Diceros bicornis minor: one gene and its partners. The protein of the gene in region 1 interacts with the protein of each later gene in a pairwise test. Links are inferred from orthologs where the notes say so. Each region holds a gene or a part of one and is shown on either strand. Other genes may lie near its edges. The genes, in order: LDOC1, PLEKHF2, DPPA4 and SMARCD1.

Evidence for each region.
Region 2: the proteins of LDOC1 (region 1) and PLEKHF2 interact in binary tests that used the Homo sapiens proteins (3 or more experiments, as listed by UniProt). The two-hybrid records come from large-scale screens. The link is inferred for Diceros bicornis minor from reciprocal best matches to the Homo sapiens genes LDOC1 and PLEKHF2.
Region 3: the proteins of LDOC1 (region 1) and DPPA4 interact in binary tests that used the Homo sapiens proteins (3 or more experiments, as listed by UniProt). The two-hybrid records come from large-scale screens. The link is inferred for Diceros bicornis minor from reciprocal best matches to the Homo sapiens genes LDOC1 and DPPA4.
Region 4: the proteins of LDOC1 (region 1) and SMARCD1 interact in binary tests that used the Homo sapiens proteins (3 or more experiments, as listed by UniProt). The two-hybrid records come from large-scale screens. The link is inferred for Diceros bicornis minor from reciprocal best matches to the Homo sapiens genes LDOC1 and SMARCD1.

The regions. Positions count from the first base shown.
Region 1 is NC_080781.1:128,281,325-128,289,204, reverse strand, and holds LDOC1 (protein LDOC1), read right to left. Parts: upstream 3,157-7,880; 5' UTR 3,024-3,156; coding exon 2,589-3,023; 3' UTR 2,047-2,588; intron 1,944-2,046; 3' UTR 774-1,943; downstream 1-773. UniProt on the Homo sapiens protein: May have an important role in the development and/or progression of some cancers.
Region 2 is NC_080760.1:14,328,393-14,336,256, forward strand, and holds the start of PLEKHF2 (pleckstrin homology domain-containing family F member 2), read left to right. Parts: upstream 1-4,585; 5' UTR 4,586-4,803; intron 4,804-5,573; exon of another isoform or gene 5,574-5,718; intron 5,719-5,837; exon of another isoform or gene 5,838-6,093; intron 6,094-6,559; exon of another isoform or gene 6,560-6,732; intron 6,733-7,864. UniProt on the Homo sapiens protein: May play a role in early endosome fusion upstream of RAB5, hence regulating receptor trafficking and fluid-phase transport. Enhances cellular sensitivity to TNF-induced apoptosis.
Region 3 is NC_080754.1:12,450,528-12,458,729, forward strand, and holds the start of DPPA4 (developmental pluripotency-associated protein 4), read right to left. Parts: upstream 3,123-8,202; 5' UTR 2,261-3,122; coding exon 2,216-2,260; intron 2,040-2,215; coding exon 1,977-2,039; intron 1,900-1,976; coding exon 1,740-1,899; intron 727-1,739; coding exon 566-726; intron 480-565; coding exon 429-479; intron 205-428; coding exon 1-204. UniProt on the Homo sapiens protein: May be involved in the maintenance of active epigenetic status of target genes. May inhibit differentiation of embryonic cells into a primitive ectoderm lineage.
Region 4 is NC_080756.1:19,739,494-19,746,839, reverse strand, and holds the start of SMARCD1 (SWI/SNF-related matrix-associated actin-dependent regulator of chromatin subfamily D member 1), read left to right. Parts: upstream 1-4,338; 5' UTR 4,339-4,376; coding exon 4,377-4,553; intron 4,554-5,184; coding exon 5,185-5,372; intron 5,373-5,664; coding exon 5,665-5,707; intron 5,708-5,801; coding exon 5,802-5,924; intron 5,925-6,402; coding exon 6,403-6,525; intron 6,526-7,346. Other genes in the region: ASIC1 (acid-sensing ion channel 1), read left to right, coding at 124-215, 899-978, 1,064-1,168, 1,334-1,438. UniProt on the Homo sapiens protein: Involved in transcriptional activation and repression of select genes by chromatin remodeling (alteration of DNA-nucleosome topology).

The DNA of each region.
Region 1 (7,880 bases):
GGTGGGGAACAGATCTCGTCTACTCATGTCTTCAACTTCCACCCTAGAAAGGTCACTCCCAGATCTACTCACAGTCTAGATTCTCTTTCTGGACCTTACCTATACCTAGATATCATCCCAGTTCTGACTCAAGGCACCATAAAAGCAACAAACTGGAATCACTATGAGGGCAAGAACCACCTTTCATTCAACACCATGTCTCTACCTCCTCTCAGTTTACCTGGACCACCAATAATTTTGAATGGCTGATTTTTCATCTCACCAGGTCCTTTATCTAGCTTTCAGCTCTTCCTCACCACATTCCCACATCCATCTCGTTTGGGCCTCAACCTCCTTTGCTAAGTAATATCCACCCCTGTCCCTACTCTCCAGAAACAACTTTCCCAGACCTGAGAAATGACTCCTGCCCCGGACTTTGCCTATTACCAAGTAAACTGGCTTTCTATCTGAGTTCACGTCAGATCCCAAAGAGTAAATGAGGTCTTGTCATGCTCTCATTTCCACTCTCCCTCAGCCTGCTCTGCTCCTCTTCACCCCTGACATTTTCCTACTAAAGCTAAGCTCATAGCAAGAGACCTGCCTCCCAAGCAAGACTTCAGTTCCCAGGGCTGGGAGTAATAGCCCATGTCTACTGAGTGCTCACCATATAGCAGAGACAGTTCTAAATACCTTATGGACGTGATCTGTGAGGTGACCAGTATGATGACTAGTATCTCATTTAATCCACAGTGAGGTTTACCAGTACAAATAAAAGAATACCCAGCCTCAAAAGGTCTTAAACAATAAAGAAATTTATTGTCTAAATTAGAGGTCGTAAGGTAGGGCTGCCTCCAGGCATGGTACAATGAGGACATTAGCAGATATAGATGAGAATGAAAACTCTGAACTCCTCAAATCCTCCTGAACGTGCCTGGCTGGCAGAGGGAGCCCCCACAAATCCCCCAACCAAGCTTCTCTGATTTAACATTTCAATGACTTAACCTGGAGTAATGGCCTCACAGAGGTATGCGCATTATTCTCAGCACCCACCCCACTCTCTCAATGCCTCTGAGCCCTCTTGGGCCACAGAGATCTCAGCATAGCCCAGATAGCAGTACAAGGTCTAGTTCAGGAGATAGCCAGGCATAGTGCCAACTTCCATAGGCAGGAACCTGGGGCATATGTATGGGTGCGGATTCTAAGGGTGTCTTCCCAAGGAGGATGAAATGTTAAGATTCTATTTATTACCGGTGCACTTACCAAGGAACCAGGATTTAATTTTAGCTCGAGCCTGAAAGGGGCATTAAAACAATGTGCTACGTTGTTAACTGCAGCCTGAACTTAAAAGTACTCCACAGGCAATAAGAATTAAGGCACAGAACCTCCCTGGCAGTGTTAAGGAAGGAACCCAAAGGCTCAGGAAGATAGGAATATTGTATGTGTCCAGATTTATGCCTGTTGTCCCAGTCTAATTATTAATAGTGTCACTTTCACTCTCAAAAGTGTCCCAGTTTGGGATGGTGTGCCACCTGCTCAGTCACCCCTTACCCATGTCACCCAGGAGGCTCCAGAGAACACTCCCTTCGCCAGGGCTTTAAGAAATGCCTTGGTGAGGGGAGCACCAGAATCCCAATAAAGTCCTGTGGTAGATGTCCTCTGTAGCCTAGAGATGACAGTGGGGAATACTGGCATTGAACTAACTTCCCTGATCTCAGTGGGAACAATGGGAGTCAGAGTGAGAGAGGTAGTGGCCAATGATGGCATTTAACCATTAAAAGACACTCCTTTCTTTTTTGAGTAGTGCTTGATATTTATTGAAAAGAACAAGTGCTTTTTCCAGGTAGTATTGAGGAGCTGGGCCGAGTGCCTGTTCTTGTTTGTTTTTAGTATTTTTGTCCAAATGCACACATCTGTGGGACTGCTGCAATTTTGGAAAAAAAATAACAGCTGTGCAAAACGGGTGCCTAGGAGAAAAGAAATGTCAACAATTTGGCTGCCAGGCACACTAGGCCCCTGCAGCAATTTGGTGGGGCAAGGGAGGACTCTGGGAGCAGGTAGGGAACTAACCAGGCTGCAAGACTGGCCCTTTAAAGGTTGGTGAGCTGTACAAATCATTGTCCGAGGAGGTGTAGCCAACTCAGGCATCTTCTAGGTTGACTCTTATCTCCAAAGGTGGTGGTCTGTCACTGGAATGTGATGGACGACGGTGAAGTGGCAGCTTTAAGTCTCTGGGCAGATGTAGGCCTGGCAGTTTGGCAGGGCTGTGCGCAGTCTGACCAGTTTGTAACAGGGTCCTGCCCTAAAGCTGGGGCTCAGGACACAGTCCAAATTAGCAGCGGAGGGTCCTGGGGCTGGCCAGACTGGGTGGCGGCGCGCTTCAGAGCGAGGCCCCAGCTCCAGCAGCAGGTAACTGGAGCACTCACTATTCCTGGAACAAAGACAAGCACTACGAGGGAGGCGGGGGATGAGGAAGAGAATGGGAGGGCAGGGGTAGGAAAGGGGATAGGAGGGCGAGGGGGAGCGCGGCGGCTCCGGACAGGGCAGGAGGGCGCGCGGGGGAGGGGAGCGGCGTGCAGGGCCCTCCCACCTAGGCCCGAGGGTCTCGGGGCCTAGTAATCATCATCTTCGTCGTCGTCTTCTTCATCGTCATCCCAGCCAAAACACTGTTTCATCTCATCGAGGAAGGCCCGGTAATCACCTAGGATGGGGCTATCCATCTCAATGTACGGCACCACCCACTCCTCGGCTTCCCCGGTGAGCAGGCTGATTAGGAATGCCACCTTCATGGCGTCGTTGCAGAATCGGTTCTCGTTGACAAGCATGTAAGACGCCGTCTGCACGATAAACTCAGGGAGCCGGGAGCTCTCGCCGTTAAACGTTTCAGGGAAGGGCACCGGGCAACTCGGCGGACGTACCTGGCGCAGCAGGGTGGCCCTCTCGCACACCAGCAGCCGCAGCTGTTCCATGAGCTGGCTGTTCTCGATGCTCAGGGCGCGGTGCCGCATCAGGAGCGCGTGCAGCAGCAGCACCAGCTCGTCCACCATGGCGAACGGCTTGGAAGGGCAAGGCTGAGCTCGGCTCGGTTCGGCTCGGCTAAGGTGCGCACAGAGGCCTCGCAGGAAGTGCGTGTCCGCGGAGGAGCGCGGTGGCCAGGGACGGAGGGCAGTGCGCGCAGGAGACCCGGCGGCTGCGCAAGCTCCGCCCACAAAGCCGCACGGTCGGCCGGCGCGCCGCCGCGGCCCGGGGGAGGTGAGGGGGCGTGGCCAGGGAAGCTGCCGGCGCGGCGTGGGGGCGTAGCCAGGGTGGGGCAGGCGGGGCCGCGGAGACGTGACCGGGGGGGCGGGGCCAGGGAAGCGGCGGGCAGGGTCTCGGGGCGGGTCATGGTTCTCAAGGCCCGCGGATAAAGGCAAGGGACCCCGACCGAGCCCTGGATGTGGGTGCGGCGTTCGTTAGCCTGGACCGCGGGCGCGCTAAGACCTGTGTCAGAGCGGGCCAACCTGCGTAAGTTTAAAGGATTAACCACCGTTCAACCCAGCCGACTCACACAATACAGTGTTCCTTGCCGGGTCTGTGGCCAGTACATTTCATTTACGTGAAGTTTTGTTAACACATTTCCTTGCTTATTTAAATCTCGTTCACCCAGAGAGCTGTTAAGCACTGCTGGCCGCACCGCGGGAGTCACACATCCTTTCAGAGTTATGAAAGACCGTCAGAGGTCCTGTCTTTCATGAGAAAACAATATTTAAACAGGAATTTGACTTTAGTTGGGAAATAATATTGTATACCTCTATCCTTTTTTAGAAATGTGTCTAAATAACGAAATATAAATAGTTCTTTAAAATCATCCGATAACTATTTGCAGGCATCCTGCCTATCTTTGATTCTCTATTTCATGTCCTAGTATTAGTGTCCCTTGGCCACTGGGTATTATTCTTTGCTTAACAATGAAGACTTGTGTTTTTAAATGGTTTTGTGTTTCTACTTCCTGATTATTCAAATAGTTGTTGACAACTGAGTTGGATCCAGGACCCTAGAGCCAACATAATCTGTTGGCTCTGCTTTTAAAATATGTCCCCAATTCAATCACTTCTTGTCACTTCTACCACTACCTCCCTGATCCCAGCCTTCCTTTCTCACCCAGACTGCTGCAACTAATCACTTAACTTTCACTCTTCCCTTCCCGCAGTGTGTGTGTGTGTGTGTGTGTGTGTGTGTGTGTATATATATTCTCCACAGAGTAGGCATAGTAATCCTTTAGAACAAAAGTTAGATCTCTTCACTGCCTTGCTCAAAATCCTCCAACAGTTTTCCTCTCTTGCTCAAAATAAAAAGCAAAATCTTGGTTATGGCATATAAGGCCCTGCCTCATCTCCTAGGCCTCTTCCTGTTCCCTGCTCTGTTCCAATCACATTGTCCTTGTGGGAGATCAAGATTTGGCCATCCTGAAATATATCTCTTTACCTTGATTGTTTTCTCTGAGGGACATTTGACCTCCCCACTAACTGCCTAAAGAATTTGACATAGTGGCTCCTTCCTGGAACAGATCTATCATGATGGCTGTAAAGATAATGTAGGATAGAGGTTACAATAGAAAAGGCACCAACAAGCCCATCTTATCAGAAGTTCTGTCTCTCTGGCCACATTCTCTGGATGGCCCTGCTAGGAGTTGCCAGACAATCATTTACATTTATAAGGGAAATCTCCATTTGTAAGGGTATCTCCCTCTCTGTTTTGGGAAGAGGGGGGATGACCTCATTTCTAGAGGCTTATCAATGTGGAAGGTGAGGCCTTAAATCTGCATAATAACCTTACTCTTGTTTACTGTGCTTTAGTGGTAATCTCCTGTAACTGACTCCCCCCACCCCCACATCCTCCTTTGTCGTTGGCTGAACATGGTATTTAAGACGAGAATTTCTGCTATTGTGTTGAGAAACGCAGTGTCCCTGCTTTCTCCCATGTATACATGTTATTAAACTTGGTATTATTTTCTCCTGCTAACCTGTCTTGTTAATTATTTGGCCAGCCATAAGAACCTTAACGAAAAGGGCAGAGGGGGATTCTCCCTCTTCCCCCACATCCTCCTTGCTGATTCTCATACATTTCAAGTAGCTCTGGCCTCAGGAACTTTGCACTTTCTACCCTTTCTGTCTTACAAAGCTCCCTCCCCAGTTAGCTGCCTAACTCCTTCTCGCACTGTTTTCAGAGAGGACTTTCCTGACCACCTCATCTATCAGAGCACCCGGTTATCTGCCAGTAGTCTCTAACCCCTTACCCTGCTTCATTTCTCTACATAGCATGTATCATGCTGGGAGCCATCATATATAGCACTGTGTTTGTCAGTCTGCCTCCACTTGAGAATGTAAGTCAATGTGGACAGAGACTTTACTTTGTTAGCTGCTCTATCCCTGATGTCTAGAAAAGTGTCTGGCCCAGAGTAGAAGCACCATAAATGTTTGGTTTATGAAAGAATCTCAGAGTGCAGATGTTCAAATAAAAATTAGAAATGGTAGCTGCATAAAGTGTCCAAAAATATTCTTCAAATTGTCCAATATGTTCTATCTCTGATCATGAATCAGTCTCCATTGTGAAACGATGAGTGATGTAACAAAAATGGCAAAATAAATTTTTTTTAAAACCCTATTCTGGGCTGGCCCCATGGCTTAGCGGTTAAGTGCACATGCTCCGCTACTGGCGGCCCGGTTCAGATCCCGGGCGCGCACCGACGCACCGCTTCTCCGGCCATGCCGAGGCCACGTGCCACATACAGCAACTAGAAGGATGTGCAACTATGACATACAACTATCTACTGGGGCTTTGGGGGAAAAAAGGAGGAGGATTGGCAATAGATGTTAGCTCAGAACCGGTCTTCCTCAGCAAAAAGAGGAGGATTAGAATGGATGTTAGCTCAGGGCTGGTCTTCCTCACACACACACAAAAAAAACCCTATTCAGTCCTTTTACAATAGAATTGAATGGGCACCCATGGAAGTGAGAGGCTGAGAGAGAGGAGGGAAACAGGGCCAAGACCAAGTAAGGAGAGGAGGAGGGATCACACTGCTCAGAGGGTGTGCAGGGAAAAGAGCAGGTAGGGGGGAATATGAGCCCGTGGACTTTCCAGTGATATGAGCTTCCCCCATTAGATGAGAAGCCCCTTGAGGCCACGCAGGGACACTCTCTCGTTCATCCTTTCATCTTCAGCATCAGAAAGTGTTTATAGGTGTTCCATAAATGTTCAGTGGATGGAATGACGGTACAGGAAATGTCAGAGGTAGGTTTCTGGCCATCCTGCCCATTCAAAGCTCAGGGTGGAGGGTAGACCTGCCTGGCACAGCGGTCAGTGTCCAGCTCCACTTTCCATGTCTAGACCCTAATACAGGAAGAGATGCCCAGGGTTCTACTCCCAGGAGCACACATCCTGTGGCAGGCACTGGATTTGGTGATTGACATGGGCTGCCTCATTGACCCTCCCACAGAACATGCATGAGGATGAGCACTCTAGGAGCCTGAGACCCAGGAGTTAAAGACTTGCCTAAACCCAGGAGAGCAATACTACAATATGTTGGTGGTGCAGTACCACAGTCTCAGCTTCTCTGATGGCACATGCACTTCCACTGAACAACTATTATGCACTGGACTTCCGTGAATCAGGAAGATCTAGTGGGGACCCAGAGATGGTTAGGCCCATGGTGCCCTAGTCCTCTTCCTACAATCCCATGACAGGGGGAGTCAGGGAGGAAACCATAGGAAGCAACCGCTAGCATCACCTCTCAGGGGGTTCTGAGTTCCTAAAAAACAAGAAATGCCCTGGCCAGAACTGTGTACAGAGCTGAGCAGTGACTTTGGGAGGCACTTCCAAACTTGGAGGGAGGGAGGAGAGACAGAGGGACGAGAGACTCACGGGGAAGCAGTTGGGAAGAGGTGAGTAGTATGACTAAAGTATATACAGTGGTCCCCCCTTATCCGCAGATTCGCTTTCCGCGGTTTCAGTTACCCACAGTCAACCGCCATCTGGAAGCAGATGATCTTCCTTCTGCTGTATTGCCTAACACTACGTTACAATGCCTACGACATTCACCTCACCTCATCTCATCAGGTAAGCATTTTATCATCTCACATCATCACAAGAGGAAGAAGGGTGAGTACAGTACAATAAGATATTTTGAGAGAGAGAGAAACCACATTCACATGATTTTTATTACAGTATATTATTATAATTGCTCTATTTTATTATTAGTTATTGTTGTTAATCTCTTACTGTGCCTTATAAATTCAACTTTATCGTAGGTATGTATGTATAGGAAAAAACATAGTATATGTAAGGTTCAGTACAATCCACAGTTTCAGGCATCTACTGGGGGTCCTGGAAAGTATCCCCCATGGATAAGGGGAGACTACTGTAGAACTGTACTGTCCACATTAGCCAGCTTCCCGGTGCCCATGAGGCTCTCCCACCAATGTCAATGCCTGCCAGCGCTTCCTTCACCCTTGCTTCTCCATTCACCCTGCTTAGGGCTGCACGTCATCTTCCTTACTTTCCCTTACACCCGTGTAAGACGCTGCGGGCAGAGGCAGATGGCTCTGCATGACTTATCTCAGGCTCAGAAACTTCATCAGGACAGCTTTGGCACAGAATGTCCCAAGGGTGGTTTGAACCCCACTATTTGGCAAGAGCATGGGCCCAAAGCCAATGGAGTGATACCTGATGCTTATTGCTTCCACCATCTTCCATGCTTCAAACCCTGACCTGGTATACACCTAGCAGTCAGACTGTAAAATTCCTCTGAAATAAACATGAAAACGTCGGCCCCTTGATTCTTCAGTCTCCAGAGGAATGTGTACAAATTGGGTAAACCAATCTGGCACTTGAATATGCAGCCAGGAACAGAAATCAGCTTTGGAGGG
Region 2 (7,864 bases), on another chromosome or scaffold:
GGTTGCATACTTACTTTGAGCTAGTTTTATGGAAGGTAAGCTTACTCAGTAACTGCTTGTTGAGGTTAATGTTTTATTTGTCATTTACAGGAGGTAATGTTGAGGAATAAGGCATTTGTTGTATAATTTCCCTCTACTGGCAGGGAAGGTAATGTGCAAATAATTTAGGAATTTTTTATAGAAGAAAGCAGCCATTGTGTCTTTTAGGGTATGAGTACTTGAATATGACTTATACCACTTCATTGAAAAACTTACCCATGACTATGCCTTGTGTGTTTTTTAAAAAAATGAAACAATACATACTTATTATAGAAGTTTAGTAAAATATAGAGAAGAAAAAGAATCATGCACAATACTACCAAAGATAAAAAATTAATATGGTTGTATATTTTATATGTCTTTTTTGTACAAAAGTTTACATATTTTACATGTAATTCACTAATCTAGCTGGAATTTATTTCGTGTACAAATTGATCTAGACTTACGTTTCTAAGACAGAGATGAGCATGAAACTAGTTCCTTAGTTTCTGATATGACAAATAAATGATATCCCTGTTAGAAATATGTAAACTTAGTTTGGAATGAGGCAAATTCCTGATCAATTTATATCCATTGTTGGGAAAATTCATAGGATTTTTGATACATACTAGGTTTATATGTTAAAACTCCCAAGGTCAAGATCAATCTCTGCCAAGAAAATTTGATTTGTTAAAATATGGATAAGCTTCTCTGTTTAAATTTAAACCTCATTTTTTGATTCTAAGGTAAGATAGCTTGACAGATGGTTAAATGAGCAGTAGTTTGAGTAATATGATTTACAATAAATCTTTCAAGAAATGAATTTAAGTGCCTGCCAAAAATCTTCTTGAATAACTCCCCAAGCTTAAATTCCAACTTCTCCAAGAGACATGTGCAATAATTTTTTTTTGAACAGATGTTATTTTTAAGAGCAGTGTGTGTCAGGTTCAGAGCAAAATCGAGTGGAAAGTACAGAGTTCCCATATATCCGCTCCCCACACGTGCACAGCCTCCCCAACTATCAACATCCACACCAGAGTGGTACATTTGTTACAACTTGTGCACCTACATTGACAGGTCAATATTACCCAAAGTCCATATTTGCACTAGGGTTCACTTGTGGTGGTGTACATTCTATAGCTTTTGACAAATGTATAATGACATGTATCCACCATTACAGTGTCACACAGAATAGTTTCACTGTCCTAAAAACTCTCTGCGCTCTGCCTGTTTATCCCTCCCTCCCAGCTAACACTGATCTTGTTACTGTCTCGCAATATTTTCAAGGGAACCTTCTATGTCATTTAATTGGGAAAATTTTCTAAATGATCTTCTAAGAGCTGACTATAAGGCTCTCTGATAAGACAGCATAGAACTATATTTCCACGAGTCCTGGGGCCTTCCTGCTTCAAAGCAAAAATTACTGCAATTTGGGGATATAGTTATAATCTGGGTTATTCTCCTTACATAGTGAATTTTTATAAGGAGTAAAATATCTGTTCCCACTTCATGCAGCCAGGATCTGCAGCAAATGTGATTGTGCCAAACTGGTCTGTAGGACACAGTGGCCAGCAAGCCACATGTGTCCTATATTTAAATGTTTAGAAAGACACCCTGTGTGTTGTAGGTTATTTTCCCATAGCCGGGGAGCATCTTGGCTGCAAGAAGAGTAAATTCACTTTTTGTTCACTGGGGAATTAGAAAAAAGCATAAAAGTATTATTTTTTAATCATATAGCTATCAGTCTGGGCCTATTCTGAGACTGGATATTTAAGACAACTATCCCAGTTTGTCTTGCTTTATTCAGTATAGTTTATTTAGTGCTTTTTTTTGGGGGGGGGGGGAGATCAGCCCTGAGCTAACATCTGCCAATCCTCCTCTTTTTTTCCTGAGGAAGACTGGCCCTGGGCTAACATCCATGCCCATCTTCCTCCACTTTATATGGGATGCTGCCATATAAAGTGCGTCGGTGCGCGCCTGGGATCTGAATCAGGGAACCCGGGGCTGCCGCAGCGGAGCACGCAGGCTTAACTGCTTGCGCCACCGGGCCGGCCCCTTTAGTGCTTTATTATATATATTTTTTAACTTTTTTCTTGGGGGGGAAATAATTTCAAACTTACAGTTTGCAAGATAGAAATAGTACCAAGAGCATCCATATACTCTGCTCAGATTGACCTAACATTTTACTCCATTTTAAAAATCATTTATATAGGTGGTTTCTCTCTTTTATATATAATATTTAAATTATATGTTATATATTTAAATTTTTTCTGAATCATTTGAGGGTAAATAGTTCAGTGTGTATATCCTAAGAATAGAAATGTTCTCTTATATAACTAGAACAGAAAATTTAACTGTGATACAATTTTATTTAATATTCTGTTCATATTCCACTTTTGTCAATTGACCCAAAAATGTCCTTTATAACATTCTCCCCTTCTAGTATAGGAACCAGTCTAGGGTCAGGTATTGTAATTAGTTGTCATTATCTCTTTTGCCTCTTTATTCTGGAACATTTCCATGGCCTTTTTTTTTTTTTAGAATATAGCCCCCATCCTCCCTTTTAAAAACAGGATATTAGTTTTTTTGGGTTTGTCTAATATTTTCCCAGAAGTCTAGGGAAACAGCCCCCAATGATCTGAGCTGCCTGTTTGAAGATATACTGGAGAATAATGGTTTCCCCTTTTCTTCTGCCTTTCAGATCTAACACGTGTCTCCCTTGGCAGAATTTAACCTGGAACCATTTAAGGAAAAGTCCTCTGGAAAATAGAGTTCTAGGCTTTCTCCCCGCAGCGCAGAGGAGAATGTAGAAAGGGGTGGCAATAAGGCTAAGTCGACCACTGACAAGGTGGCACACACTCCTGTCCTGTGAGGACCTGGGGATAGAAAGGCAAGAAGACAGGGAGCTCCTGCCCTCATGGAGCCTGCCGTCTCCAGGGAGATCTATAAGTACTGTGAGGGAAGCGCACACCCGCACTGTCTCAGGGCACAGAGGCCTGAAAGACGACAAGGGGCCACAGCTATGCAAAGGGCAGGATAGGGTGGGCTTGTGATTGTCTCGGTAGAGAAGCAGCCAGGGCAGTGGGCCCCATAGCAGAAAAGAGCTGGGTGTATTTGAAAAGTGACACAAGGTCAACGTGACTGGACTTGGGTGGAGCTTGGTATCTTTTTAAGGTGGAGAGGATGGCAGACGCTGGGTTGTGCTGGGTCTCATAGGACCTAGTGACCAGCTGGCATTTTGTTGTAAGTGAAACAGAAATGTTCCTACTCCATATGGCACCTTTGGGCAAATTAGAAAAAGGCATCCATTCCTCAAGGCGTTTCCATCTTGTTGGAAAACGGTTGTAAAATACTTTTATTAGAACAAGGCACTTTACTGAAATCTGCCAGAGAATATTTGTAATAAGTATAAAATTTTCAGTGCTCCAATGTGAAAGGACTCTTCCATAGCGTTGTTCTACTATAACTTGTACAATTGTAATTGGCAGCCCCAGTGGGGAGCCATGGAAGGGTTTCTGCAGGCGAGTGACACAATCCTATGTGGTCCCGAGTGGAGGGGAAAAGAGAGGAGGAGGCGTGTTTTAGAGGCAGATTCTACAATATGTTTGAGGAAAAGGGATAGGATGAAGGCGACGGAAGAGAGGATGGGATGGTGATGACTCGGTAGGTTTGCAGATTTCCACCTACATGTTTTGTTTGAGGTTAGTATGCCGTCCCCCCCGCCCCCCCCCATTCCTTGTCTATCCTAGGCATCTTTGGTATCTTCTCCACGTACCCAACAGCACGCTTAGCAAACAGCTGCTGTGGTATAAACGAAAAGGGCAGATTTAACCTTACATACTATCTTGCATTTTTCAGGTATGTGAAGTAGGTAGATGAGGTTTTGTGTCGCCAGAGATAAGTTTTGGAAAGACCAGAGTTCTAAGGCACAGAATAAAGCCAGTCGCTTAAAAGAAAGGGCTGCTAAGAAGAGTACCTGGGGGTATGCAGGTGTATTGCCACCGCAGCTCCCTCGGTTTCAAGAGGCAGGGGTTTTAGAGAAAGCAAATGGAAGATGTGACGGGCAGGATCGCCAAGGTAAGTGGAAACAGGAAACAAATATCTGCCTAGACGCCTTTGGGCATCTAAATCCAAAGCCTTTCCTTCCCGGCTGCGGAAAGTTCTTGAGTGCCGTGGAGATGCCCGTTCGGTGAGGAGGCAAAGGGGGCCTAGCCTTCCTTCAATTCGTCCAGTCTCCTACAAGAACTACGTAGAGAGATGAACAATCTTTTCCAAGAGCTCGCCGCAGCCAGGCGGGCCAGGTAAGGAGTCTCACCTGCACCCAAAGGGCGCCGGGGCACGCGGTCCCACACTGCGCGGAGGAACCAACCGCAGGCGCCAGCTGCCCAGGTGGGTGTGGCCTCCGCGGTGGCCCCGCCCCCTCGGGCGCGTCGCGCGGGGCGGCACGGGCGGGGCGAGGGAACAGGCAAGAAAGGCGGGGAGCGGGCGGTGTGGGTGTGCTCGTGCCCGCGCGCTGGCGTGTGGGCGGCGGCGCGCCCGTGCGCGCGCAGGGGAGCGGCCAGCGCCGGCGGCCGTTGTGGGGTTCGACTGGAGGGGCGGGGGAGTCACCTGCGAGCGGCTGCGCCGGCCGGCCGCCCGTCCGTCCTTCGCGTCTGGATCTGGCCGGCTGCGCGCGGTCGCGGCCGCGCACACCCTGGGAGGCCGGGGCGGGGAGCCGGCAGAGTCCGCGCCCGGCGCCTGGGACGAGGAGCAGTCGGACTTTCGCCGCCGCCCGCGCCTGGCCGGGTAGGTGAAGCCCGGGTTGGTTGTCCGCCGGCCCCTGGCGGGCCGGGAGAGGAGAAGCGAAACTTTCCGGGCGCTTCCCCTCGCGGTCCCTGGCCGTCGGCGGCGCGGGGAGGTGTCGTCGTCGCGGGCGGCGGCGGCGGACGCCATGTTGGGGTCTGTGAGAAACGGGGCGCTCCCGGGCCGCTCCCCTCGCGCTGGGGTCGGCCGGCGCCCGCCCGCAGGACGCGGCTGCCGCCGCCGGCAGGCTGCGGGGCCGCCCGGGGGTCCGCGCTCCGCGGGGCGGGGCCGGGCGGACGCGGGAAGGGGGCCCCGAGGTCGGGCGAGAAGTTGCGGGGCGTGAGGAGTAGGGATCCAGTCGTGGCCGGTGGCGTCTTAGGGCCCCAGCATCTCTCTGTCCAGAAAGTTTGCGAAGTCTGGGCGTCAGAGACGTTGTAACTCGAATAGCATATATTTATGTGACTTGGGGCAAAAAATGGCACCGTAGAATTTGCTCGGATAGGCGATGGCTCTTACACATTATTCATTTTGGAGTCTTTTGAAGTTTCATGGTCTTTTGCCGAATTTATTTTTCCTTTTTAAAATCTTTTTGAAGGCCGAGAGCTTGCTGCTCCCGTGGCCTGAAGACCCTGTGTGCTTGTGCACCACAGCAGTCGCTTGTGTGCGCGAGGGAAGGGGGTAGGGTTACGGGGACGGAGAACTGAGCCTTTCTCTGTGATTCACGGACTCGCCAAGTGTGGAAGTTTTTAAATGCCTTCTTTGTTGTGTTTTAGTACGTTACTGAAGAGACTCATTAAAGAAAGATTTAGACACGAACGTTGACTGAGGGACTTAAAGGTGTGTGTTGTTTTCTTAACAATAAGGTGAAGTGATCTTGACATTGCGAAATTTTTTTCCGCTCCCTTCGGATCCTTGAAGGTGCGTGCCTACCATGTTTTGAGCATTTACCTTTTTCTGTACTCTGGTAGCTCATGGGATCCTCAGGTTGATTCACAATTAACGAAGGCTTCTATTTTTATCTGTTCGGGTCCTGACAGCGCTGGAGAGGTGAAGAGTATTAAGTTACTTATTTGGAAAGCACATAGAATCGCCTCAAAAAGTAAAACTGATATACTGACCAAGGCATCGAAAAAGGTTCAACTTGAGTTACCCCAGTAAATGAATGTATATTACTATTTTTAAGTAAAGACATCTTCGCTTTAAAATTCTGTTAAATGAACTGAAAGGACTCTTAACCACAAATAAGGTCAACTCTAAAACATGTTTTGGAGAATTTCTCTTCTTAATCTACAGGTAAAAATATAGGTTTTGCTCAGATTTGATTGCTAATTTCCTTAAATTCTTAAAAAAAAATTCTTTTTGCTTCATTGTCAAGTAAATGCCATTATATATGTTTGTTTTTCTGGGTGAAGAGTTCTCTAGAAATGAGGTGACAGCTAACTTCACAAATCTAGCAGGCAAGCTGGTATTTAGCTGAGCTCTTATGACTCGGAAGCCTTCTCATTTTTCTTATAGCTAACTGTGTAGGATACATAACTCATTCCTGTGGAGCAGTCTCTGTCCACCTTGTTTGCTTTGTCTTTGCTGCTCTTTCCATCTTTAATTTTGTTCCTCAGTCTACTTATCTCCTAGAGAGCTGATTTACAAGGGTTCTTGTACTGAAATTTTTCCCCTTAAAAATACTCACTTAAGCTAACTGTACTCTTTGAAAAGCCTTTTCTGCCCTGTTCTCCTTATCCCACCCCCTTTGTCTCCCCAGGAATTGGTTCGCTTCTCCCATGGCATCTCCATACATATTACGTTGACCTGCCGTGGCACCCCCTTGACAGCAGACGTTGCATGGGGTCTGATTTGCCTCTCCCTCCCCAGTGTGCAGAGAACATAGCAGATGCTCAGGAAAGGTTTGAATGGATGAGTACACATATGCTCCTTGTAAATATACTTATTGAATTTCTTACTAAAAATTGCAGTTTCGATGGGCATAGTACTTAAATCTTCTCGAATCCTTTTTTTTTTAATTTTACATTGGTAACTCAATAAGTTTTGGCCTGGGGATACAGAACTTGCATGTTTATGAAATTTACAAGTAGATAATGGACTGAAGTATAATCAACAAAGCAGCAGCAGCCCTGGTTCAACAAAAGGATAATCATAATTTTAAAGTGCAATTGAATTTATTTTCACTGGAGGGAGATAGAGTTAATGCCTGAAAATTTTGAAGGTCGTGTTTATACATTTAAGCTCTTTGATAGAGCAAATCTCATTTCTTTATCAATTATTGTTTTGTCAGAATTCTCTTAGAATTTTGTTTTAGAATGCCTCGCTTAATGGAAAGCATATAGAAATTGCTTTTCTATTGATAAGTTTATCTTTGAGAACCAGCTTTGTACACAAGCTGCATGTTTCATAGCAATGTGCATGTTGGCGTAACCAAATAAAATATACTTCATAGATATGCTTTCAGAGGGCTGTTTTAAGTTGCAAGACCTCTCTAGGTGAAGGTGTTCTGTAATTCTGTAACAAAATTATTGTAGAATTTAGGGTTAATTCCCTGCCCAAGATGACTTTCTCTTCAGTCAATCTATAAACCACAGACTGGTGTGCGCAATTTGGGAGGTCCTGAGAAGAGAAGGCATTCAAGAAGTTGCTATGAGTGCTCGAGAAAGCAAGTTGCATGTAGGGTGGACTGGAACAAAAAAAAGCAATTCTGAATCCTAGTTCTGCTCCTTATTAGCTTGTGACTCTTGAACAAGTTTCTTCACTTCTGTAAGCTTCACTGGACTCATTTGTGAAATGGGCACAGAAATATTTGCCTCATAGTGTTGTGAGGATTTACTAAGCTGTTTGTGGAAGTGCCTGGTGCATGATATTCATATTCAGTAAGTTATATTAACAAATGAACAGAGTGGCAGTGAATTATATAGAATCATAGAATTTTAAAATTTTAAAAGGGAAGCAACTTTTAGAAATACCTAGTTTGGTTCTCAACCTTGGCTACACATTATAATTCCCTGAGGAGCTTTTTAAAAGTACTGATGCCTGAACACTACCCTAGAACAAATAA
Region 3 (8,202 bases), on another chromosome or scaffold:
AGTCTCAGCTCCCTCAAAGAGAGCAGTAGACCCTTGGAGGGTGTGTGCCCCCTCCTCATGGGGAGCAGCCCCTTCAGGAAGACCAGTCCCAGCAGAAGAAATCTTTTTACCACAACTTTCCAGAAACGATTCTCCCTTGTCCATCATCAATTTTCTCTGTGCTCCTGGCAGGATCTTGGCCTCCTTTGCTGTGACAGGAATGTTCTACAAACAGGATTTGAAAGATGAAGGCGCTATCAGAAGGACAGCCTTATTTGTATTACTCTTTGCTCAGAGTTGGTGAAAAGTGACGACAGGGGGATGTGGTTCCTCCTTAGAAGAAGTAGAGGGGCTGACACAATTCCTCTACTTACTGTTTGATGCTAAAATAGGTAATTAGGATGAGAACTAAATCTTCCACTCTGCCAAATTTTCTACAAATTACTCACCTGTTGATTGGGATAAGCATATTCACAGAGTCGCTTATATGCATCTAATTTCTGAGAAAAGAGAAAAAAGAATTAACAATGAAAGTAAGGTCCCTACCCTTTCTCCCAGCAGCATCGTCTCCCAACCCGGCCCTCACCTGGCCTTTGGTGCTCAGTTTCAGTTGTTGGCACCAGGCTCTCAAGGTGTCTCGGTGAAGCATGTTGGCTGGTGGCAGTTTAGAGGGTAATGGAGGAATTGGTGTCCTCTTCCGAAGTCTTACATCCTCTTTGTCTTGTTCCATCTTTTGAGGACAGCAAGCTGAAGGAGAATGGGATGAAACCAGTGCAGTCACTTTTAGCTCTCATAGTCCAATCCCTGTTGTACAGTTCAATGACTTGCCAAGACCACAAAACCGCCAAAGGTCAGAACCTCAAACCTAGGACTTAATATTTCTGAATTGCACACTTTTTGCTTCCTAAAACTCCCCACCACTGATACGCACTTGCTCCTTTGTGAGCTCTGTAACCCACAGGCTCCAAGGAGGGTGCACTAGAGATTGCACTTCCAATCCAGGGAAATGGTAGAAGTTGTAGACCTGAGATCATAAATATTCAGTGGTGCCTTGTCCTCTCACCATAAAACAAAATAAACCACCCAGCAATGCCACACACACCCCACTATTACCCATAATTCTGCCAGCCTACCTGAGTCAGGGCAGCACTCCAGTCTCATTGCACACAGGTCTCCTGCTGTGCCTCACGCACACTCAGCATTCAAGGAAGAATTACAGAACACACCTCCAGAGAGGACACAACTATGACGACTACACGGTAGTCGCTAGGGTTTACTGAGCCCACATTACTAGTCAGGTATAGTGAAGGTGTTTTATCTAATTATTCTATGTAAATTATAACCCACCTTCCACCGGACCTCTGACTCAACATGGTAGGTATTATCCTCACTTTTTAGAACAAGAAGTGAAGTTTCAAGGATGGGATTTCAAACTTACATTGGTCTGTCCCCAAATCACTGCACTTTGAGATCCTTAACTCCATGCAGTGAGTGAGGGCAAAATGATGATCAGAACCAAAAATGTTGTGGGATTTGGAGACAGGAAGAAATCAGTGTTAACAGGGGTGACCAAAAGAAGGCTTCAGGGAGGTGAGATTTAAGCTAGGCCTCGAAGAAATTTCTTTTATTTGAAGAAAATTCTGTAGGATTTGCACAAGAGAGGACGACGTTCCTTTCCTACTTTTCCTACTCCTTCAGAAAAATTCCTCAGGCCTCTTAGACCTGAGGAAATGAGATCTGAGGACTTGTAGACCTCTTACCTTTGTCATCCTTCACAGATCTTTTTCGTTTGGTCCCCCTCATGGAGGCTTGTTGTGCATTTGGTTCACCAGAAGCCTGCTGTTCCTCTTCGGGTTCTACCGACTGAGGTTTCGACTTGCCAGTCATATGTTCTTCCCCTGATTTCTTTTTGGAATTCCACTGGGGATTAGAGGCACCAGTCAGTCATTCCTCTGGTCCCACCCACCACACACACTACCTGCCTCAAGATAACTCACATCCAAGGCACCAAGACAGTCAGCGAACTCCGCTGGCGGTGTGGATTCCTCTCTGGGTGTCGTCTTAATGCCCAGGTTCATTTATAAGATAGGGAAGCAATGATGGGGAAATGGGAGAAGACCAATTTAAAAGTACAAAAAAAGACAGAAAATATGGATACAAACAAAAGAAGTAGAAGAAAATAAGGTCTGCTTTGGGGGAAGTCGTTACATCACCCATGATATCCATCCTCTCTCACCTGGAAGATTTTCCCCCATTCCTTCACTCTTGACCTCTTCCACATAAGTTTCCTATACTATTGCTGGAGGGATGCTATCAGACCTTCACATCCATTCGAAGATTTATTGTTCTTAGCGTAAAGATATGAAGATAAGCAAATGTCTTTCATATAACCCACCAGCCTCTTCTCACAATACTCTCCTCTGCCCCAAGCTCCAGTCAAAGAATTTCTGTCCTTCCCAACCTAGTTACTTTGGCCTGAAGTGGTATCACTCAGCTCCACCCCACCCCACCCTACTTCTATTTACATTCTTAAATGTTACTCCTCCTCCAGAATTCACTTCGAGCGTTCATCTCTAAACCCTTTCCCGTTTTTACAGACCAAGTCAAATCTACTACCTTTTGCCTCATTCCCACCACTGATCAGTTGCAATTTCACATTTGCTTGTGTCATTTGGTCAATGCCTATTATTCCATTTGATTGTAAGCTTCACAAGGGCAGAATTTCTTTCCCTTTCATCATAGGCACTCAATAAATGTTGGTTAATTGCATCAAAAGAAACAAGAGAACAGTGGGGATAAAGTTGTTTGTACAGAGAATCTGACAGTTGTTGAGCCTCTCTCTTCTATTAGGTATTGTTTGACACATTCCTTATTTTCTTTCCTTTAATCTGCACAGCAATCTGGTGACAGTTTATTTGTTTTTCAGATGCAGAAGCTGATGCCTTACATAACTAAGGGTGCGCAGATAGGCACGTTAGATAGGAATTAAATCCCAGATCAACTTGCTCCCAAACCTAATTCCTTTCCATCATCCCCAAGGTGGGAGTACTGGACAAATTAACATTTGTATGGCATTTTTACATTTCTATTGCAGTTTTACATTCGTATTCAAATTTTACATCTACATAGCCCTTACACAAACTACTCACTTTTGGGTCTCACAAAAGTCTTAAAATTGAGAGTGCAAAAATGACCTGGTTCTAGGAAAGAGACCCTGAGAGTGTTCAGGTTTCCCAGGCACGGGAGTTCAGTTCTTCTGGAACAAGCCTCAAAGCCTCTCCACCTCTTGTTTCTGTCTGCAGTGCTTGTCAAGATGTCTGGCTTATATTTCTTGGCCCTAACGACCCTGGGAAAAGAAGATGAGTTCAGACTCAACACATTTGCTTTAGGATCTGTGTCTGTTGAAGGGAAATTAAAGGATCTCGTTCTTTCCCCGACTCAGCTCATATCTCTTCCTGAAGTCTTTCCCTCACCTCCTCCTTGCCCCTGTTACCATTTCCTTACACCCCTGATACTGGATTCTTCTTTCTGATGGGATAAAGCATCTCTTCAAAACCAAAACAGGAAACCCCATTTCTTATTATTTCCTAGCTCCAATATAACAGGTTGCAGTCATATCCAGGACTTTACTTTTTTTTTTTTTAAAGAGGAGGAAATTGAAGGCACATTCTTTTCTCCTCAAAAGAAGGATCAAGTGTGCTCAGGGGAAGAGAGGAATATGAGGAGACTCACAAGGACAGAAAACAAACCCACTAAGATTGTACTTACCTGCTTGCCTTTTGCATTCTCCATACTCAGAAAAGAAGTCAAGGTTGATAAAAAGAAAGTTCTGCTTACTTCTAAAATGGCCCCTGGCCCAAGATTGCTCTTTTAAAAGTCTCCTCCCACTTCCTGCCACCCAGAAGGAACTCTTCTTTTTCTCCTCCCCTCTGTTCCCTCCCCCACAATTTGTGAATGCTAAATTTGTGTACTGTCTTATTCACAAGGCGACTATTGTATGAATGAATTAATACCATTCCTGGCCCTTTTCTATGAGCTTTTAAACATAATCACGTACAGTGTGGTTCAGGTGACATTGGAAAGTTTAAAACTCCTTCAGAGAAATTCCAAGAAGAAAAATAAAAATTTCCAGAGACTTGTGAATAGGATGGGTGAAAGGATTTAATGATAGAACTTGTGGAAACAATAGGATTCCGGACCAGACTGATGGCTTTAAGAAAGCAAAGCTGTTTTCATGTACCATATACATTCCATTTCTTAAGCAAGTTACTCTACCAATTAAAACTCCAGCGTTCCATCTGTGCTAATAGTAACTAGCACCTTCCCATCTGCCAACAAAGAATTATAGTAGTTTTTAAAGTCTATTGAGTATTTATGTACCAAATTCTAGGCTTAAAAGCTCACAGCCATTATTTTATTGTTCTCCATTTTATAGATGACCAAAGTATGTATAACATCGTATTGATCACTTGCTCAATAGCACAGTGAGAGAACCAGAAATCAAGTGTAGGTGGACGCGATTCTATCCCTTGAGCCCTAACCTACTGACTCCCAAACAAGGTCCAGATTCTCTCAAAAATAGTTTCAAAAATCCCTCCTTCTCAGATCATCCTCCCTGTCAAACTGTCAGGATTAGAGATGGGAGGGGAAGGAATTTCCTGGGTTAAGAACCAGTGATTGTGAGATTCAAACCTTTGTCAGATTACAAAGTCTGTGTTGTTTTTCCTACATCTCATTGCTTGCCCTAAAATGATGAAGAAGAAATGATCCTTACCCAGAATGGAGGGGATAATCTGCTCGCAGGATAGAAATACATGGACATAGGGAGTAAGTAAATGGGACCTAGGAGTAGAGAAGGAAGTGTACCTGTGGACTGGGCATCCCGCAGAGCACCAAGGACGAAAGTGAGTATTTAGAATGTAGATCATCTGGGAGGTCGCACCGGGGCTTTGACTGATCAGTTCTTTACTCTGGCTCAGAGACAACAACTGGTAACCAGTTGTCATCTTCCTTTTCCCAGTGTAACTGGAAGTAACGTTGCTGAGACTGAGACATCTAATCCCAGGCAAGGTACAATCTCTAAAGCGTGTATAAACAGAGCCAGTGTGTGCTGGAATTTGATTTAAGAATTCTTAGTCTCATCACCATTTGGGGGAACACAGTTCTAACAAGTTGCACCAACCATTCAAAAAACATGGGTTAGTTGATGTCCTATGTATAAAGAGGATTAGTACAATTTAAAATATTTGAGCATAATTGGAAACGGTACTACTGGGCTCTTGAATGAAGCAAAAAGAAGCCAAATATCTTTCTAACAGGCTTGTGGGAGTTGTGATAATTTATAAGCAATCTTGGGCAAAGTACGATACCTTTCTGCTTTGGTTTCTCAAATGTAAAATAGGGATAACTGTAAATTTATTGTGTCTTTTAGAGAAATAACTAACACAAATTTATGTGTAGTTTCTTATTAATGTTTAGTAGTCAAAAGAAAAACTTTTTATTGCTTTTTAAAAATGTTATGTCAATGCCTAAAGTTCTATCTACCCTGAGTTCAAAAAATATTCATAACTGAATCTCTTATTCATTTATTGAACAACAGTGTGTTGGGTGTCTGCTGTGTGCTCTGCCTGGGAGACACAGAGGTGGACAATGGCAGACAGGGACCCGGCCCACATGGGCTCACAGCTGGGGGAGAGGACAGATGTTAAGCAAATCATATCAGTAACTAATAATATAAGGAAATGCTCTTTTACTTGATTTTTAAATGCATTATATTCATTTATATGTATTATCAAAACCAATGTAAACTATTCAATTATGACACTTGAAAAATAGGAAAGCTCTGCATGTATGACAGCCTGCAGTAGGGGTTTTGACCTCATCAAGGAAGTCAGGAGAGCAGCGGGTCTAAGGACCAGGTGAACTGAACTAACTGAACAGAGGAAGGATCCGCCCAGAGAGACTGCACTCCTGAGGCAGCCCACCTCGGTTCAGGAACTGAAAGGGGCTGCGTGGGGCTAGGAGAGGGAGGAAGAAAATGTAAGCTGAGTCTGGATAGGTTGGCCTTTTGATCTTTAGGCTAAGAACAATGGAAAAATTCAGGGTGGGGTGGGGATGAAGGTGGGAGTGGGGGTGGGCAGATTCTGAAGAGCATTTTGTAAAGATCTTTCAACGGCAAGGAGGAGAAAGATGAGGTGACGGATCAGAGTAAACATGGGAAGGTAGGTTAGGAGGCTACCGAGGCAATGTTAGGTCTGAGATACTGGCAGCTGGAGCGGAAATGGAGAGTTGTGGCTAACAGCACGGACTGTCTTTAAACCTCAGCCTCCCCGTTACCAGCGTGTGACCTCAGGCAAGTTGTCTCACACCTGCAGGTCTCCCTTTCCTCATCTGTAAGACGGGAGTGGTGAAAACACTAACCCTCACTCAGAGGGTTGTGGGGGAGCGAAGAGGGCTCTCCCATGTCCTGAATAAACAGTGTCTAGGGCAGCACGTGTTGGGTCAATGTTAGATGTTTCTATTATTACAGCATTGGAGAGTGTTAAAAAACAAAATTCAACTGAGTAAATGTTAAAGATCTTATTGGCTTTATTCCATGATTCATGAATCAGGCAGCATCCAATCTAGCAGATAGAAAGGAGCTCTGAGGAGCTGTACAAAATGAAAGATTTTTATAGGCAGAGGGGGACAGCAGGAAGGAAGTTGTACTAGACAAAAAAAGCTGGTTGGTTATGCAAGGTGACTTTCCTTTAGGGAGTGGCAGGGGTCTATCAGGCAGATGACCTGACTAGTGCTGATCAGGCGATTCCTGATGGCTGGTGTAAGATTCCATTTCTGGGAGAGCCAAAAGTGTAAGTTAAGTCTCTGTTTGGTGACATGGGGCTTAGCATAAGTGACTCCATTTTGGCCTGTCTTGTTTTTAGCAAGAAGAATACATATTTGAGAGATGGGGAGTACTCCTCCTACGGTTTCTTTTTTCTTCATTTTTTTGTGTATTTTCTTTTCCAAAAAAAATTTTAATTGAATAAAATGAGCTGAGTTAATGAGGCTTTCAGTTGCTTACCTGGAGGCAATGAATCTTCCAAAGTCATTAATCTGCATTTACAGAAGACAAAACAGGATAGTGTCATACATAACCACCATTTCATATTTGATGGAAGGGAGAGATTTGGCGGGAAGTGGAACTGTGGAGGCTGGTTGGAGGACCTGTCTGGATCTCTCCGCGCTGTGTATTCTGAGAAGTCCTGGCTCAAAAGCTGGGCTTTTAAAAAAACTTATATATAGTTCAATTCATATCCAGAATGATTTTACAAGTTTATAACAGTGCATGCGAACACCTCTTTCTCCATATCCGAGAGACTGGTATTTTAAAAAATACACTAGAACTGGACACACCTAATGTATAACAATTTACCTTTTACGTCTCTCCTATAGTGAGAAATCATTGCTTTTTATGGGGTTATTTTATTTTAGAAACAGGTGAGTCATTTAGAAGTAAATCTAGAGAGTAAGGTAGGCCATCAGGTTAGTTAACAACTGGTTAAAAAAGGGAAAAGTTGGAGGTAGATGGTAAAGCTGGTATCTATCATGAAGTTAAACAAACCTAACCTGTTCCTTTGTTTATAAACTCTCTCTTCCAACTCCCCCCCCCATTCCTTCCTTCCTTCCATCGTGTGTTAGGCACTAGTCATAAAAATGTGGGTCTGGTCCTTAATTATCTCACAGTAGGAGGAGTTCCAAACATGTGAGCAAACGTAGTGTTATTGGATTACATACCGAGTTTCCTTAAGCGTCTACCTGACAGAACAGAACATGCTAATCAGGGGCAGGTTCACCTTGAATCTACTGAGGCTTAAGCGTCAGGCACTTTGTTTGCACTGGCCCAAGCCAAGCTCCTGTGAGGACTCTAGAAATTTTGCATGCATAATTTTATATCTTTTTCAAAGTTGCATAAGCTTCAGGCCCCACAGATCTGCCCCAATGATGATTCATAAATACTGAAATGTTTGTGTAACAAAACAACGTTCCTTGAAAATCTCACCTAATATGCTCTGCTTTTGCTTCCCCCTACCAGCTCCCCCTCCCGCCTCCCAGTTAACTGTGCTCCAGGAGAATCGTTCCTTGGTTATTAGGTTTCCAGCTCCTGATCCTCCTGTATGTGCTAAGTGCCAATGCAATTGTACGTCCTCGGCCATCACCAGCACATATATAATTTAGTATACA
Region 4 (7,346 bases), on another chromosome or scaffold:
CAGCATCCCATTTGATGGAGATGGAGGCTGATATTCAGAGAGGATAAGTTGCTAAGGTCACCTAGCTAGTAAGGGACAGAGATGTGACTTGAACCTAGGTCTCTTCCTCCAACCCCTTTGCAGGGAGAACATCCTCGTGCTGGACATTTTCTTTGAAGTCCTCAACTATGAGACCATTGAGCAGAAGAAGGCCTATGAGATTGCAGGGCTCCTGGGTGAGCTGCTGATGGCACCTGTCCCCTTCCCATGCCATGGGCATGGAGTGACACCCTACCATCTGAAGTGTCCCATGAGCTCCTCCTCCCCTGCGATCCCCCGGGGCCTTTCCCCAAACTCTGTTGTCTGGGTATGTGGTGGGGGGAGGAAGATGGGCTGTCTGTTAGAGCAAAGTTGAAGAGGCCTGTGGGCGTGAACATGGGACTATTTCATATGCCCTGGAAAATCTGCCCAGAGAATAAGAGTGTTGGAGTATTTTGTAAACAATTATTTTTTTCTGAATAATACCTGTTCACTTTAGAAAAGTAGAAAAATGCAGGGCCGGTCCCATGGCTTAGCGGTCAAGTGCGCGCGCTCCGCTACTGGCCGCCCGGTTGGGATCCGGGCGCACACAGACGCACCGCTTCTCCGGCCATGCTGAGGCCACGTCCCACATACAGCAACTAGAAGGATATGCAACTATGACATACAGCTATCTACTGGGGGGGCTTTGGGGGAAAAAAAAAAGGAGGAAAAATGCAGAAAAGCATAAAGAAAATAAAAATCCCACCAGAATTGCTTTGTGCGCCTTCTATATGAAGGCTGTTGATGCTTTTGCAGGACTTGCCTGCCCCTGTCCCAGTGAGCTCTGCTGCTCCCTCGGTGTCCTGACCCCACTGACCTCCCTGTGTCCCCCATGCAGGTGACATTGGGGGCCAGATGGGACTGTTTATCGGGGCCAGCATCCTCACGGTGCTGGAGCTCTTTGACTACGCCTACGAGGTAAGCGGGGGTGGGGATGGAGGTGGGGCCACGAGAGGGGCAGGGTTCCAGTCCGCCCACCCCTCCACCCCAACCTCCCTCCCAGGTCATTAAGCACAAGCTGTGCAGACGAGGGAAGTGCCAGAAGGAGACCAAAAGGAACAGTGCAGACAAAGGCGTGGCCCTCAGCCTGGATGACGTCAAAAGACACGTGAGAGAGAGAGACAGGGGCGCCCTCCAGCCCTGCCCCTTCCCCCACCACCCTAGGACCACCCCCCCCCCGCCCCCGCCACCTTTTCTCCTTTGCCTCCCCCACTCCCCAGCGTCACCTGTGGCCCTTCGGATAACCAGTCGCTGTCTTGTGCTGTTCCCCCAGAACCCGTGTGAGAGCCTCCGGGGCCATCCTGCTGGGATGACATACGCTGCCAACATCCTACCTCACCATCCGGCCCGAGGCACTTTTGAGGACTTTACCTGCTGAGCCCTGCAGGCCACTGTACCAAAGGCCTAGATGGGGAGGGCTAGGAGAGCAAGGGGGCCCCCAGCTGGCCCCCTGCATCTGCCCTGGGGACTCACTCCCCGCTCCCGAGGCAGCCCCCAACTCCTGGGCAGTCCTTTCCTCTTGTCTGTGGTGAGGAAAGAGTCTTGACCATAGAGTCCTCTCCCTGCCTCTCTCCCATTCTTGTTATTTTTAACAAAACTAATCTAAAAAAGAAACTAAAAAGAGAGAACGGGCAAGTGACCTCAGGCTGCCCCTCTCTGCTCCATGCTGCCTCCCCTAGCTCCCAGCCTGAATTCTGTCTGTCTGGCTGTCTGTCGTCTGAGTGTCCACCTACATTCTGCTGCCACCAGTCACCAAAGCCCCCTCCCAGTGGGGGGTGGAGGGGATCCTTGGGGTCTGGAATTTGGCCCCAAACCAGAGAATGTACCTTGAAGGGGAGGGCTAGTGGGGGGGGACTTCCCCAGCCTTAAGAGACCCTCTCAGCCCACTGACCCCCCCCCCCAACCAAGTCTCCAGGCAGGAACTAAGACCCTAGTCCCCCCAACACCACCATGTGAAGTCTCTTGGGAGGTGGGGGATCCCCTGAAGAAGTGGAGATGGGGGCAAGATGTGGCCCTGGTGCTCTGGCCACATCCTGATACCTACAAGTTCATCCCCACCCCAGAGCTGCTGGAGAGAAATCCCAAGAGGCAGCCCTCCTCTATCACCCATAAAAGATCCAGCTAGTTGGCTTCCAGCTCAGGGAGAGGGGCACTGGTGCCTAACCTCACTGGTCCCTCTCCCAGGGGCCCCTGCAGAGGGCCACATCCATAAATTTTCTTATGGAACTCTCCCAAGTCCTTTTCCCCAACTTCATTTGCTTCTCTCAACAACCTCATCTGCATTTTCTATTTCTATACGATACAGACTCTATATTGCTATATCTCTGTATATACTTTCCCCTAACTCTGTCTGTCTATACCCCATCCCCTCTTGTCTCTAAGAACCATCTTTCCACCCCAAGTTCCCCTTTCTGTGTTTCTGCCCCCTCCCTGGTCTCTGAATGCCTTCACCTGTATAAAGAGTTGGACTCTCTCCCCTGGTGTCTGTACTGTGTACACACATCCCTCTGAGAAGCACAAGGAGACGACACGCGCATTGTAACCTTCGCACTGTCTCGGTGGCGACATAAAGGAAGCTGTGAATCACAAGCTCTGCCTCTTTCTGGCCTCACCGTCTTCCCCCAACCCCAGGCACCCTCTGCCCTCCCTGCAGCCTTAACATTCCCTCCCCTGCTCCACCCAGCCCAAAGTCCTTTGCCTGGCTGATGGTGGCCTCCCCAGGGAAGGAGTTGCTGCAGAGAAAGCCCTCACCCAAGGGATGGAGATCTGCTCTGTACACTAAGGCAAGGGTGTCAGAGACAGAGGAAGCTGTGGATTGGTAACTCCTGCAGCTGGAGCGGTGCAGATGACAGGCAGAAGCTGAGGTCCTTAGTCAGTGGCCTTTCCCTCCTTCTGGGTGCACAGCCCCCTTTCCTCACCTGACATCCAAGCCCACCACTTATATTTTCTGGTGAGGTACGGTTTGGTAGTGGGAGGAAAGAGACAGGCCTAGAGGGGAGCTTGAAAGCTCTGCTCTTCTGTCCTTCTCTTCCTACGTTAGTGAGAAACATAAGTGAGGTAGAGGGCTCGCCACGCCCCCTCCACCAGACACTCCTCCCAGGCCAGAACCCTCCCCCTTCCCAGAGCTTCTCTGCCCAGCTGTCTCTTGGTCTCCAACCCCAGAACAGGAACTGTAGTAGGTCACCTGTGCATTGGCCTGGTGCTGGAGAGGGAGGCTGTAGGATCTTTGGGAACTCTTAGTTTGTAGGAGTTCCTTAGAGATCAGACCTCTCCAGAAGGAAGCAGGAGCATGGCCAAGGGGTGTGCACCAGATGGGGAACAGCAGGCAGGGCTATGGGGGACGCATGCCTCTGGTCTAATAAACTGGGTTTCAACCATCTCCTCTTCAGTGTCGTTTTTCTCTTATTTGAAGAGTATTTAGGCCTTCCCACTAAGTGCTTAGAGCTGAGTTTGGCTTGGAGCCAAACAATCAGGGGAGGAGTTAAGGAGGCTTGAGCAGGGAGACCCTGGTCCTCCTGGGGTGGGACAGGCTGACCATCACACCAAGCATGGTTTGAACCACTGGGCAGGGAAAGAGAGGCATCAAAGGCAACAAAGATCCCAAAGAGAAGTCCTATCACAAAGGATTCTTTGGAGAGGGGGCAGGGTCAAAATTCAAAATAAACTTAAAATCTGGAAGCAGGTTAGGTTAAAGTTCAGGGACAAAGTTGGGTTGAAGTTCTAGGGTGAGGTAGTTATTGAGGCACTTTATCTGTGGAATGAGTCCCAAGCTATGAGCCACAAGATCTGGATTCTAGGCTTCGGCTCTACGGCTAACTTGTTAGTTGACCTTTGCCAAATCATTTACTCTGAGTTCAGCTTTCGTGTTTGTCAAATGGAATAAACAGTGCATTCTCCTCTTCAGCCCCCCGGGCTTACAAACAAAAAACAATCAAAGCGCTTTGGGAAGTTAAATGCACCGCGCCAAGATGAAGCAGTCACTCCATCACCCTCTTCCTCCGAGCTTTGGGGCTGGGGCTGTGGTCCCCTTTCCAGTCCTTGTCTTCCTCCCGTCGCCTGGGGGCGCCCCCTCACAGGGCCTCTCTATCCCGAGTTCGTCTCGATGGTTTCCCCTCCCGGACCGTGAAGGGGGGGAGGGAGTGGTCAGCACGCCTTTTCCGCTAGTCGCCCCCCTCTAGCCCACAGTCTCGCTGCCCCCAGCCTCCCGTGCCGGCAGGCCGGCCGGGCGGACAGACGGGCGCGCGGGGGGCGCGCGGGGGGCGGGGGGAGTTCCGGTTCCGGTTCTTTGTGCAGCTGCAGCCGAGGCTCCGGGGAAGATGGCGGCCCGGGCAGGTTTCCAGTCTGTGGCTCCGAGCGGCGGCGCCGGAGCCTCTGGAGGGGCCGGCTCGGCGGCTGCTCTGGGCCCAGGCGGGACTCCGGGACCTCCTGTGCGAATGGGCCCAGCGCCGGGTCAAGGGCTGTACCGTTCCCCGATGCCCGGAGCGGCCTATCCGGTGAGTGGGGCGGGAGGAGGGGCGCGCGGGCCGGGGGCGGGGCCGAGCGGGGGCCTGGGAGTGACAGGGGTGGGGGAGAAGTAGGAGGACCTCCCCTGGGAGGGATTCGGGCCCTGAGTGGGGGTAAGGGGAGACAGTGCAGAGGAAAGGAGGGGAGGCACTTAGCATCCCCACCTGCTTCTAGGGGTATTGTTTCCGTGGGGAGTCAGGGTATAGAACCCGCGGGATGAAATGGTGGGCATATGAGGGCTGGAGTGCAAAAGGGCTTGGGCAGCTCCAGTGCCCACAGGAACACGGAAGGTGTAGCTGGCAAATTGAGGTCAGCTACAGTGCTGAGTAAATGTAGGACTAGGAGAGCTGTCCAGTGTGTCACATAAAAAACTGGCTGGGGAGAATTTGAGTATAATTTGATTATCTCTTAGCTTTTGGGCTGTACTCTCCTATGGAATCACAACTGGAGCAGAGGAAGCTCCAGTTATGTTTTAAAGAGGGAGAAGGCTCCCCTCCTGTTGTGCTCCACCCCACCCCCAGCCTTGTTTCATTCAAAGAACTCAGCCATCCCCCACTTTACCTTTATTAGTGGGGTTAGTAGGGGAAGCCATGACATCTCTGGGTCCTCTCCTCTCTGTAGAGACCAGGTATGCTGCCAGGCAGCCGAATGACACCTCAGGGACCTTCCATGGGACCCCCTGGCTATGGGGGGAACCCTTCAGTCCGACCTGGCCTGGCCCAGTCAGGGATGGACCAGTCCCGCAAGAGACCTGCACCTCAGCAGATCCAGCAGGTCCAGCAGCAGGCGGTCCAAAACCGAAATCACAAGTAAGATGCCTCAGGGCAGAGGGAGGGAGAAGGGAGGAGGAGAAGGAGGAGGCCTGAGGCCTGTGAGGACACAGGTGGTGGGAGTACCTGAACCAAGAAGCAGTGGTGCTGTGTCAGCAGATGGGTGCTCATTCTTGAGAATGCCTCATGTTGGTTGGGGGCAGGGGGATGTCTTTGATTTGAGAGAAGCTTTGCAGTCTCTCTACTTTACTATAAATGGAGGTGCTGACAGCCTGTTTGCATGTTCTGGCTAGTTCCATCCCAACCTGATAACAGTATTTATTCTAAACAGTGCAAAGAAAAAGAAGATGGCTGACAAAATTCTACCTCAAAGGGTGAGTCCAGGCTTTAGGTCTTCTTGTGGGTGTGGTGGGTTTGAGAATAGAGATGGTCAGCTCTAGATCCCAATGATATCTTTCTGTTTCTAAGATACGTGAACTGGTACCAGAATCCCAAGCCTATATGGATCTCTTGGCTTTTGAAAGGAAACTGGACCAGACTATCATGAGGAAACGGCTAGATATCCAGGAGGCTTTGAAACGTCCCATCAAGGTAACTCGGGAGAGGGCTAGACAGAGAGCCAAAGGCGAGGACTCGGGAACCTTCACTAGGCTCAGGATGAGAAATCAAAGGCGCAGCACAGCTCTCCTTGGCATTTAAATTATATCTCTCCCTTCCGCCTACGAACTGAGTGTTACATTAGAAGCATGAGAACAGATAGCAAAGGGGGAGGGGCTTTTGATATCTCTTGCACCAGAAACGTACCCTCTCCGGGTTTTTGCTTTAACAGCTCTGCCGCCTTAGGAACCTGGCACCTTGCGTGAGTTTGTCCACCTGGCATCCCAGTGTATGCACTTGCACTCAGGCCAATGGCCAGTACTCCTCTTCTAGATGGACTCTCCATCCACCCACCCCAGGGACTGGGTAGACAGTACTCCTGTTAGGAGTAATTTTGGGGTTTGGGGAGACCCTTGTCTTCAACATCAAACCACTGAAGCCCCACCATCAATCCTGTTTCTGCCTTCCTCAGCAAAAACGGAAGCTGCGAATTTTCATTTCTAACACTTTCAATCCGGCTAAGTCAGATGCCGAGGATGGGGAAGGGACGGTGGCTTCCTGGGAGCTTCGGGTAGAAGGACGGCTCCTGGAAGATGTGAGTTCAAGGTCCACTGTGGTTGGCATCTAGGGTGGGAGCTGCTGGGAACAAGCAGTGTTGTCTGATTGGCAGGAAGCCTTACTGGTGCTCACAGCCCTTGTTGGGAACAGCAGGGAGAGGTCACAGTGTTCCTGTACTAAAAGACAATGGTTCTTTGTGTCTGGTTCCCACAGCTTGGCCCTCACTGTGGTATCATATCAAGAACGTTATTGTCCTGGGATTTGATTTGTTGTTTACCTTCCTCCTGATGCCGCTGGCCATTGGGATGTAGCAGTATCTGCAGATTATTCAATTAAGTTTTGTTTTTTTTTTTTTAATCAAGTGAGTTTGCACTGAGCATTTGAGGCCATGCTTTCCTCTCTGAGTCCTTGATTCCCACTGGCATCTCCATCTTCCCAACTTTCATTGGAGACATCTCACAGTTTAAGTGGGATAGATTTCTCTGACAGGCTCTTTGTTGCTTCGTGGGGAACATGAGCAGACAGGTGATAGCCCCCAAACTTCCCACCCCAGAAGCTCCTTGGGGAATCTCACCTTTCATTCCCTTACACTCTCTGGCTCTCTATTTTAGCTATTCACAGGCAAGCTAATTTGAATGCATTTTTGCAGGAGAACCAGGGCTCAGTGTCAGCCTCCTTCTTTTCTATATAGGTCCAGTCCATCTGCTGGTGGTGTCATTCCATCCAAAGAAAGCTGTTTTTGTTCTGGCTGCTTACTGCCTGTGATTCATTTCCCCTCTAGAGTCAGACTTTTCTCTGTTCAGACTCGCTTTGTTATGTGCATCGATTTGGCTTAACTTGCCTCGTTTCTCTTGGGGA